3 linked regions of the Saccharomyces cerevisiae S288C genome follow. The protein of the gene in region 1 interacts with the protein of each later gene in a biochemical or structural test. Each region holds a gene or a part of one and is shown on either strand. Other genes may lie near its edges. The genes, in order: CPR7, HSP104 and URE2.

Evidence for each region.
Region 2: the proteins of CPR7 (region 1) and HSP104 form a complex in vitro, tested with the Saccharomyces cerevisiae proteins (one study listed by BioGRID).
Region 3: the proteins of CPR7 (region 1) and URE2 form a complex in vitro, tested with the Saccharomyces cerevisiae proteins (one study listed by BioGRID).

What each region holds. Positions count from the first base shown.
Region 1 is NC_001142.9:489,451-492,886, reverse strand, and holds CPR7 (peptidylprolyl isomerase CPR7), read right to left. Parts: upstream 1,807-3,436; coding exon 625-1,806; downstream 1-624. Other genes in the region: RAV1 (Rav1p), read left to right, coding at 1-509; Arf family guanine nucleotide exchange factor GEA1, read left to right, coding at 2,075-3,436. UniProt on the Saccharomyces cerevisiae protein: PPIases accelerate the folding of proteins. It catalyzes the cis-trans isomerization of proline imidic peptide bonds in oligopeptides. Plays a major role in negative regulation of the heat shock transcription factor (HSF).
Region 2 is NC_001144.5:86,934-91,911, forward strand, and holds HSP104 (chaperone ATPase HSP104), read left to right. Parts: upstream 1-1,689; coding exon 1,690-4,416; downstream 4,417-4,978. Other genes in the region: Fe-binding Fe/S cluster assembly protein ISA1, read left to right, coding at 470-1,222. UniProt on the Saccharomyces cerevisiae protein: Required, in concert with Hsp40 (YDJ1) and Hsp70 (SSA1) and small Hsps (HSP26), for the dissociation, resolubilization and refolding of aggregates of damaged proteins after heat or other environmental stresses.
Region 3 is NC_001146.8:218,482-221,798, reverse strand, and holds URE2 (glutathione peroxidase), read left to right. Parts: upstream 1-1,597; coding exon 1,598-2,662; downstream 2,663-3,317. Other genes in the region: JJJ1 (Jjj1p), read left to right, coding at 1-1,140; ELA1 (elongin A), read left to right, coding at 3,137-3,317. UniProt on the Saccharomyces cerevisiae protein: Plays an important role in nitrogen catabolite repression. Down-regulates the expression of many genes involved in nitrogen utilization by inhibiting the GATA transcriptional activators GLN3 and GAT1.

The sequences.
Region 1 (3,436 bases):
TTTCACTTGTGAAGAATTGGAAGTTCATCGAAAGAAATTCCATACCAGTTCAGAAGCTATTAAAGAGCCCCACCAAGGATAGAGCATATTCTGCTATTGGCGCCATGGCGTCTGAACCAATTTCTACTGCTAGGATGAGGCCCAGTCTTTTTGATAAGTTTGGCTCGCCAAGTGCTTCAGATATAGAGTCACCTAATCCAAAGTTACCAAATAGCTTATTAGACGACTTCTTGCAACCACCACCAAATAGCACTTCTTCAAATTCCCTCGCTCAAAGTTCTTCTTCTGCACCTAGAAGTATACTGGATGAGTTCGTCTCTCCTTCATATTCTCAGCATAAAGAGAATTTAACTCCAAAAGCGCCAAACGACTCTGTGGGTGAAACAGACAACTCAGAAAATAGGAAAGATAAACTCTCTAAGGACATATTAGATGATCTTTCATCACAAAAGCCACAGAAGCCAAAAAAATCTGCTATTACCAAGAACTTACTAGATGACTTTGTATGATATCATATTTTTTATCAAATAAATGGATTTATAAATAAAAATAATTACATCTTATTAATGTAGTGTTTTCATATTGGGTTATTTAATCTCAAATTTCAGCCTTACAAGTAACTAATTAGGAGAAAAACTTTGATATATTCTTTCTTGTCTTTTCCTTATTCTCTTCTATGAGCCTATTGACATATTCTATTCTTTGTTCTATAACTTCGTCATCGGGATTTTTCTCTTTACAAAAAATATAATCTTGTAAAGCTTCGTCTAGTCTCTTTTTTTTTAAGTAACTGTTACCTCTTCTATAATAAGCCTTTGCTTGATCTCTGTTAGGAACGTTATCCATCTCCAATAAATACGTAGCATACATGATAGCATCATCGTATCTTTCCAGATTAAAGAGCACCAAAGATAAATTTAGGTAAATTTTCATCTTTAGGTTAATAAATTGGATGTTTCTTTCTTTGTCTACGTCGGGTTCAGGCATGTATTCATTGATATAATTTAAAGATTTTCTGTATTTGAAAAAGGCATTAGAGTAATCCTTTTTCTTAAATAAGAGCGTCCCAGATTCTTTGATTATATTAGCAGCCTCAAGAGCCTTACCAAAATCATCGTCACCGAAATGTGTATCATCGTCTGGATATTCTTCGTATACGTCACCGCCAATTTGGTCATTAGAAGCGTTGTAAAGCGGGACACCCATAGTTTTTTCCCACACTCCACAGTCGCTGATTCTAACGTCTGATTCAGGGACTCCATCAGAATCTACCCTGCAGTTTTCTATAGTGCGAACCACTGATTTTCCATGAACCACCTGCCCAAAAATAGAATGCTTGCCGTTCAAATGAGGTGCGGCGTATGTAGTTATGAAAAACTGGGAATTGTTCGTATTTGGAGAACCTAAATTGGCCATACCTAAGGTAAAGGGTTCTACAAACTCTCCCAAGTTTTCGTCTTCAAAATTCCCGTAACAGAAAGATTCATCATCGGTTTTCACTTCCTCTTTATCAGCGTAAATTGAACATCCACCTTTTCCAACAGACGATGAAGAGGAATCCTTTTGTGTCCCAAAGACAATGTCACCTGCCTGGATCATAAAATTCTTAACGACTCTATGAAAACCATTTCCCTTATAGCTCAGGTACTGTTGATCCTTCAAAGGACTCTTAACATCACCAGCGCATAACTTATAAAAATTCTCTGTTGTTTTAGGAGCCTTCTCACGAAAAAGTTTGCAGACAATACGACCAATTGGTTTTTTATCAATGGAGATGTCTAAATATACAAGGGGATCTTGAATCATCGCGTTGGATGTAGGTTGTTGCTGCCGAACACCTTTCAGAATAACGACTTTTTTTTTCTTTGCAGTTTCTCATTTTTATGATTTTCTAATCACTTCATCACTCAGCGCATTGGAAAAAAAACAATATATAGATCTCTTTGTTTACATGTTGGAACTAAGACCTTTTAATATGGATACTTTACACAGAGAATTGAACCATCTTAGTTAAGTTAATTCGCAACTTTGGTAAGAAGCGCCCAGGTTTAACTAATACGGCTTCATATACAAAATGCACGACGTGCCAATGGAAACTGTTTTGGCCGTGAACCCAGCTACGATGATTGTCAAAGAGTGCATCAATCTTTGTTCTGCCATGAACAAGCAGTCCAGAGATAAATCACAAACAAGTGTGGCCGCGTTGCTGGGCGGAGGTAGTGATATATTCTTGAGTCAAAGTGATTCGTTTGTTGACAGCTTCCACAATTTGCCTACTTCTAGCTATCATGATCCTCTGATATCTGGTTTAGTACAGCTGCGGCTAAAAATTAACGACTTGAAGGGTTTAGATTCATTAAACGCCTTGGAACTTTTGAAACCATTTTTAGAAATAGTCAGCGCTAGTTCAGTATCGGGTTATACTACTTCTCTGGCTCTGGACTCGTTGCAGAAAGTTTTTACACTAAAAATCATAAACAAAACATTTAATGATATTCAAATTGCCGTTAGGGAAACCGTTGTTGCGCTTACACATTGTAGATTTGAAGCTTCAAAGCAAATTTCGGACGACTCTGTTTTATTAAAAGTTGTAACATTACTACGCGATATTATAACCTCTTCCTTTGGAGACTATCTCTCCGATACTATAATCTACGATGTTTTACAAACGACACTTTCCTTGGCATGTAATACGCAGAGAAGCGAGGTTTTGAGGAAAACGGCTGAAGTTACAATTGCAGGGATAACCGTTAAACTATTTACAAAGTTGAAGTTACTAGATCCACCTACAAAAACAGAAAAATATATCAATGATGAAAGTTACACCGACAATAATTTGAAGGATGACATTATAGGTACGACTACCTCTGATAACGATTTGAGTAGCACTGATGATGACAGTGCTGTTGCAGACGATAATAAAAATGAGAAGCCAGTCCAACAGGTCATAAGGGAACAGGAAAATGATGAGGAAACGGCTGAGAAAGCCGAAAATGTCGAGCCAAATTACGGAATAACAGTTATAAAGGATTATCTTGGATTATTGTTATCACTGGTTATGCCAGAGAATAGAATGAAGCACACAACTTCGGCCATGAAATTATCTCTACAGTTAATCAATGCAGCCATTGAAATATCCGGTGACAAATTTCCTCTATATCCCCGGTTATTCAGCTTAATTTCTGATCCAATATTTAAAAGTGTTTTATTCATTATACAAAGTTCTACCCAGTATTCTCTTTTGCAAGCAACTTTACAATTATTCACGAGTTTGGTTGTGATATTGGGTGATTATTTGCCTATGCAGATTGAACTGACTTTAAGGAGAATATTCGAAATTCTAGAGGATACCACAATCAGTGGTGACGTTAGTAAGCAAAAACCACCTGCAATCAGGGAATTAATTATTGAACAACTTTCAATACTGTGGATTCAC
Region 2 (4,978 bases), on another chromosome or scaffold:
TTAATAATCCCTCTCTAATAAGAAATAGATAAAAGCTATTGTTCTTCTCATCGCCGGTTCTCGGCGTTGTCCGTACCCTTGGCCGAAACTCGGGCGGGGGCTTATTAGTCATACCCTCAGATTTCATTGGTCAGATAACAGTCACCCGGTAAATGCCCGTTTAATGACTTCTTTATTTTGGATTAAAATTGACAGGGAATTTCAACGGAATAAAGGAAAGAGATTGAGATGCTTTTAATTCATAAAGGAAAGGGAAAGAGGACAGGAAAGCAAGGAAGAGTAATGGAATTTTGCAAATATTTGTAAATCCTTTAGAATTACTAAGAAACTGTTATTTATTGACATTATTTTACTCGTCTTATTTATTTATTTATACATTTGGCCACCATTTTTGCACTCGTACGAAAGACCATTTTAGATTTTTTTGATTTGGTAGTATAACAAACGATCGGAACAATAACGTAACATAATGATAAACACAGGAAGAAGCAGGAATTCAGTACTGCTGGCACACAGATTCCTTTCAACTGGAGGATTTTGGCGAGGCGGTACGAATGGCACAATGTCTCGCACAATCAACAACGTAAATCCTTTCAAATTAAAATTCATACCGAAGACAGTGCCCGCAGCTGCAGACTCTGTCTCTCCAGATAGTCAACGTCCAGGTAAGAAGCCCTTCAAATTCATAGTTTCCAATCAGAGCAAGAGTAGCAAGGCTTCTAAAAGCCCGAAGTGGTCGAGCTACGCATTCCCTTCGCGTGAGACCATCAAATCTCATGAGGAGGCCATCAAGAAGCAGAATAAAGCTATAGACGAGCAAATAGCTGCTGCAGTATCCAAGAATGACTGCTCTTGCACAGAACCTCCCAAGAAAAGAAAGAGGAAATTGAGACCAAGAAAGGCGCTGATCACCCTGAGTCCGAAGGCAATCAAGCATTTAAGGGCACTGCTAGCTCAGCCGGAACCTAAATTGATTAGAGTTAGCGCTAGAAACCGTGGATGTTCAGGACTAACGTACGATCTACAATATATCACCGAGCCGGGGAAATTCGATGAGGTAGTAGAACAAGATGGCGTTAAAATTGTCATCGATTCAAAGGCGTTATTCAGCATCATTGGAAGTGAAATGGACTGGATCGACGACAAGTTGGCCTCTAAGTTTGTCTTCAAGAATCCAAACTCCAAGGGCACATGCGGTTGTGGCGAGAGTTTCATGGTTTAAAAACCTTCTGCACCATTTTTAGAAAAAAAGAATCTACCTATTCACTTATTTATTCATTTACTTATTTATTTACATATTTATCATACATATTAACATTGAACCCTCCATCGTGGTAGTGTTTGCTGTTCCTAACTTTTCTTTCGTTGTTCTTGTAGATATATATTTTTCCAGAATTTTCTAGAAGGGTTATTAATTACAATCTTAAACGTTCCATAAGGGGCCGCGATTTTTTTGTTCAATTTTCAACAGGGGGCCCATCTCAAAGAACTGCAAATTATATCACAGTAAAAGGCAAAGGGGCGCAAACTTATGCAACCTGCCAGATTATTATATAAGGCATTGTAATCTTGCCTCAATTCCTTCATAATTCGTTCCTTTGTCACTTGTTCCTTTTTACCCTTGAATCGAATCAGCAATAACAAAGAAAAAAGAAATCAACTACACGTACCATAAAATATACAGAATATATGAACGACCAAACGCAATTTACAGAAAGGGCTCTAACGATTTTGACGTTGGCTCAAAAATTGGCTTCGGATCATCAACATCCACAATTACAACCTATACATATTCTAGCTGCCTTCATTGAAACGCCAGAAGATGGATCAGTCCCTTACCTACAGAATCTAATTGAGAAGGGCCGTTACGACTATGATCTTTTCAAGAAAGTGGTTAATAGAAATCTAGTAAGAATTCCTCAACAGCAACCTGCACCTGCGGAGATAACTCCAAGTTATGCTTTGGGGAAAGTCCTTCAAGACGCTGCTAAGATTCAAAAACAACAGAAGGACTCATTTATAGCGCAAGACCATATATTGTTTGCTCTATTCAATGATTCGTCTATTCAGCAAATATTTAAGGAAGCTCAAGTAGATATTGAGGCCATCAAGCAACAAGCTCTTGAACTTCGTGGTAACACTAGAATTGACTCTCGTGGCGCTGATACGAACACACCTTTGGAATATTTATCAAAGTACGCCATTGATATGACTGAGCAGGCTCGTCAAGGTAAACTTGACCCTGTCATCGGCCGTGAAGAAGAAATAAGAAGCACTATTAGAGTTTTAGCAAGAAGAATTAAGTCCAACCCATGTTTAATTGGTGAGCCAGGTATCGGTAAGACCGCTATTATTGAAGGTGTTGCTCAAAGAATCATTGACGATGACGTTCCCACTATCTTACAAGGCGCTAAATTGTTCAGTCTAGATTTGGCCGCATTAACCGCAGGTGCTAAATACAAAGGTGATTTCGAAGAAAGATTCAAAGGTGTTTTGAAGGAAATCGAAGAATCAAAGACTCTAATTGTGTTATTCATTGATGAAATTCACATGTTAATGGGTAATGGTAAGGACGACGCTGCTAACATCTTGAAGCCAGCTTTGTCCAGAGGCCAATTGAAGGTCATCGGTGCCACCACCAATAACGAATATAGATCTATTGTGGAAAAGGATGGTGCCTTTGAAAGAAGATTCCAGAAAATTGAAGTCGCTGAACCAAGTGTGAGACAAACAGTGGCCATATTGAGAGGTCTGCAACCAAAGTATGAAATACATCATGGTGTAAGGATTCTGGATAGCGCCTTAGTCACTGCTGCTCAATTAGCCAAGCGTTACTTGCCATATAGAAGATTGCCAGATTCTGCTTTGGATTTAGTTGATATTTCTTGTGCTGGTGTCGCCGTCGCAAGAGATTCTAAGCCAGAAGAATTGGATTCCAAGGAACGTCAATTGCAATTGATTCAAGTAGAGATAAAAGCTCTAGAGAGAGATGAAGATGCCGACTCCACCACTAAAGATAGATTAAAGTTAGCTAGGCAGAAGGAAGCTTCATTGCAAGAAGAATTGGAACCTCTAAGACAACGTTACAATGAAGAAAAGCATGGCCATGAAGAATTGACACAAGCTAAAAAGAAATTGGATGAACTGGAAAACAAGGCCCTTGATGCTGAACGTAGATATGATACTGCTACCGCCGCTGATTTAAGGTACTTCGCCATCCCAGATATCAAAAAGCAAATCGAAAAGCTTGAAGATCAGGTTGCTGAGGAAGAGAGACGTGCTGGTGCCAACTCCATGATCCAAAATGTGGTCGATTCAGACACCATTTCTGAAACAGCTGCAAGATTGACTGGTATCCCTGTTAAGAAGTTGTCAGAATCTGAAAATGAAAAATTGATTCATATGGAACGTGACTTATCATCTGAAGTCGTGGGCCAAATGGATGCCATTAAAGCTGTTTCCAATGCCGTTAGATTGTCTAGATCAGGTTTAGCTAATCCAAGGCAACCAGCATCCTTCTTATTTTTAGGTTTGTCCGGTTCCGGTAAAACTGAATTGGCTAAAAAAGTTGCTGGATTTTTGTTTAATGATGAGGACATGATGATCAGGGTCGATTGTTCTGAATTAAGCGAGAAGTATGCGGTCTCTAAGTTGTTGGGTACCACGGCAGGTTATGTCGGGTACGATGAAGGTGGCTTTTTAACTAACCAACTGCAATACAAACCATACTCCGTTTTGTTATTCGATGAAGTAGAAAAGGCACATCCTGATGTTTTGACTGTCATGCTACAAATGTTGGATGACGGTAGAATTACTTCTGGTCAAGGTAAGACGATCGACTGTTCCAATTGTATTGTCATCATGACTTCCAATCTAGGTGCTGAATTTATCAATTCTCAACAAGGATCAAAGATCCAAGAATCTACCAAGAATTTGGTCATGGGTGCTGTTAGGCAACATTTCAGACCAGAATTTTTGAACAGAATTTCTAGTATAGTCATTTTCAACAAGCTATCTAGAAAAGCTATTCATAAGATCGTGGATATTCGTTTGAAGGAAATTGAAGAGAGATTCGAGCAAAATGATAAACATTACAAGTTGAATTTAACTCAAGAGGCCAAGGACTTCTTGGCCAAATATGGTTATTCCGATGATATGGGTGCACGTCCACTGAACAGGTTAATTCAAAACGAAATTTTGAACAAACTGGCACTAAGGATCTTAAAGAATGAAATCAAGGATAAGGAAACTGTCAATGTCGTCTTGAAGAAGGGTAAATCTCGTGATGAAAATGTTCCTGAGGAAGCTGAAGAATGTCTGGAAGTTCTACCAAATCACGAAGCTACTATAGGGGCTGACACGTTAGGTGATGACGATAATGAGGACAGTATGGAAATTGATGATGACCTAGATTAATTTAATATAGTGTGATTTTTAAAAACTTTCGAACAAGAATCAGTAATATAATATATATAATTAATAAAACTAATGGAATTTGTTTAATTGAACTTGACACCCGAGCAAAAGAGCTCACATTTTAACGTTTAGTTCATCTTGCTGTGAATAATCTAAAAGTAAACAATGGACAAAAAAGTCCACTGGACGTCAAATCTTTTTTTATTGTATTTGGGACATATGGCGTTGATAACTAAAGTTTAAAGGAAGTAATAAGTGAAGGTTAAATCTGGACCTCTTTACTTTCATATTAGAAGTATAAAACACACGCGGATTGGTCCATTATTAGAATACGGGTACTACAATAATGGTTTTGATAGTTACTGTACATTTGAATGTAGCGACTCATATGACTCATATATATGACTACCAAATCATGTTAAAATTAGTATATCTTTAACTTAGACTTCAGTACTATCTGAACTGCACGTTTAAATTTTTACCATAGCAGTTCATGTAATATTAATAATCACTTGTGCCAATATAATGTTACAGCGAACATTTTTCCATGCGCTTGGAAAAT
Region 3 (3,317 bases), on another chromosome or scaffold:
GAGTACATGTACTCTAAAAACTATGACAGAAGAACCAAGAGGGAAGTTAATAGAAGAAATGAGAAGGCTAGGCAACAAGCTCGAAATGAATACAACAAAACCGTGAAAAGGTTTGTAGTTTTCATAAAAAAGCTCGATAAAAGAATGAAAGAAGGTGCAAAAATTGCAGAAGAACAGCGTAAACTAAAAGAACAACAGAGGAAAAATGAGTTAAATAACAGAAGAAAGTTTGGGAACGACAACAATGACGAAGAAAAATTTCATTTACAAAGCTGGCAAACGGTAAAAGAAGAAAACTGGGATGAACTGGAAAAGGTATATGATAATTTTGGAGAATTCGAAAATTCTAAGAATGATAAGGAAGGTGAAGTATTGATTTACGAGTGTTTTATCTGCAACAAGACATTTAAGTCGGAAAAGCAATTGAAAAACCACATAAACACTAAACTGCATAAGAAAAATATGGAAGAGATACGGAAAGAAATGGAAGAGGAAAACATAACGCTTGGGTTGGATAATCTCTCCGATCTCGAGAAATTTGATTCAGCAGATGAAAGTGTTAAAGAAAAAGAAGATATTGATCTGCAAGCATTGCAAGCTGAACTCGCTGAAATTGAAAGAAAACTGGCAGAATCGTCTTCTGAAGACGAAAGTGAAGATGACAATCTCAACATAGAAATGGATATAGAGGTAGAAGACGTCAGTTCGGATGAAAATGTACATGTGAATACGAAGAATAAAAAGAAAAGAAAAAAGAAAAAAAAAGCAAAGGTTGACACAGAAACAGAGGAATCTGAATCGTTCGATGATACTAAAGACAAACGGAGTAATGAGTTGGATGATCTTTTGGCATCACTAGGAGACAAGGGCTTACAAACGGATGACGATGAAGATTGGTCTACTAAAGCGAAAAAGAAAAAGGGCAAACAACCTAAAAAGAATTCTAAATCCACAAAAAGCACTCCGTCCTTGTCGACTCTACCGTCCTCTATGTCTCCAACCTCCGCGATCGAGGTGTGCACTACATGCGGAGAATCATTTGATAGTCGAAATAAGCTATTCAACCACGTGAAGATAGCAGGGCATGCGGCAGTGAAAAACGTAGTGAAAAGAAAGAAAGTCAAGACCAAAAGAATATAGTGACACCAAACCATAGAACGCCGAAACAGAAATTATTAGTAGAGCTGTGTAGAGTTTAATTTAACTGTAGTCAATGTGGAAAATGAATACCGACTGTTGTCTGGAATAACAACATTAATCCGGGTGACGCAGCCTGGAATTTTTTTTTCAATTCTCGCCGAATAGGAGGATTGATGAGCTGCCACTATTGAATTTTTGAGGAAGAGTGGCTTCAGCATGTAGTTTTCCTTTCTACTAGGCCAGAAAAGCAACTATACAAAGACGAAAGCTTCCTTACTCGAGGTTGAAAAGAATAGCAAAAATCTTTCCTTTTCAAACAGCTCATTTGGAATTGTTTATAGCACTGAATTGAATCGAAGAGGAATAAAGATCCCCCGTACGAACTTCTTTATTTTTAGTTTTTCATTTTTTGTTATTAGTCATATTGTTTTAAGCTGCAAATTAAGTTGTACACCAAATGATGAATAACAACGGCAACCAAGTGTCGAATCTCTCCAATGCGCTCCGTCAAGTAAACATAGGAAACAGGAACAGTAATACAACCACCGATCAAAGTAATATAAATTTTGAATTTTCAACAGGTGTAAATAATAATAATAATAACAATAGCAGTAGTAATAACAATAATGTTCAAAACAATAACAGCGGCCGCAATGGTAGCCAAAATAATGATAACGAGAATAATATCAAGAATACCTTAGAACAACATCGACAACAACAACAGGCATTTTCGGATATGAGTCACGTGGAGTATTCCAGAATTACAAAATTTTTTCAAGAACAACCACTGGAGGGATATACCCTTTTCTCTCACAGGTCTGCGCCTAATGGATTCAAAGTTGCTATAGTACTAAGTGAACTTGGATTTCATTATAACACAATCTTCCTAGATTTCAATCTTGGCGAACATAGGGCCCCCGAATTTGTGTCTGTGAACCCTAATGCAAGAGTTCCAGCTTTAATCGATCATGGTATGGACAACTTGTCTATTTGGGAATCAGGGGCGATTTTATTACATTTGGTAAATAAATATTACAAAGAGACTGGTAATCCATTACTCTGGTCCGATGATTTAGCTGACCAATCACAAATCAACGCATGGTTGTTCTTCCAAACGTCAGGGCATGCGCCAATGATTGGACAAGCTTTACATTTCAGATACTTCCATTCACAAAAGATAGCAAGTGCTGTAGAAAGATATACGGATGAGGTTAGAAGAGTTTACGGTGTAGTGGAGATGGCCTTGGCTGAACGTAGAGAAGCGCTGGTGATGGAATTAGACACGGAAAATGCGGCTGCATACTCAGCTGGTACAACACCAATGTCACAAAGTCGTTTCTTTGATTATCCCGTATGGCTTGTAGGAGATAAATTAACTATAGCAGATTTGGCCTTTGTCCCATGGAATAATGTCGTGGATAGAATTGGCATTAATATCAAAATTGAATTTCCAGAAGTTTACAAATGGACGAAGCATATGATGAGAAGACCCGCGGTCATCAAGGCATTGCGTGGTGAATGAAGGCTGCTTTAAAAACAAGAAAGAAAGAAGAAGGAGGAAAAGAAGGTTATAAGGGTATGTATATAGGCAGACAAAAAGGAAAATTAAGTGCAAATATAAACAAAAATGTCATAGAAGTATATAATAGTTTTGAAATTTCTGTTGCTTCTATTTATTCTTTGTTACCCCAACCACAGAATTCCAAAATTTTGTTTTATGTAATAATTGAAATACTATAAATTTCTCAACTATATTCGGGGTGTTGTCACTGTATATCTGGCGCTTTCAATAAAGCTGGTACAATTGCGTATTTTTCTCGGCATTTGCCACGATGGGCTTAAGAAAGATCACAATAGAAAATTTCAAATATTTAATATTTGCGAAGAAGGGATTTGTTCAGTTATGACGATTAGATACATATGTAACTTACATGCAAACGGTTTTTGTTCATGGAAATACGTTCTAGTGAATGTATAAATCGATTGATGTCGAGATATGAAAAGTTTACAAACACTATGTGAAATCTCATTGATGAGAAATCATTCAAACATACAATCTGTGAGTAATGTCCCCTATCACTTATTAAAGAGGATACTGCAGAAAGTAAAAATACCACAACTATTAAAACTTGAGAAAAGCAACGTACTATTGATATTTGACGATGATGAACTATGGT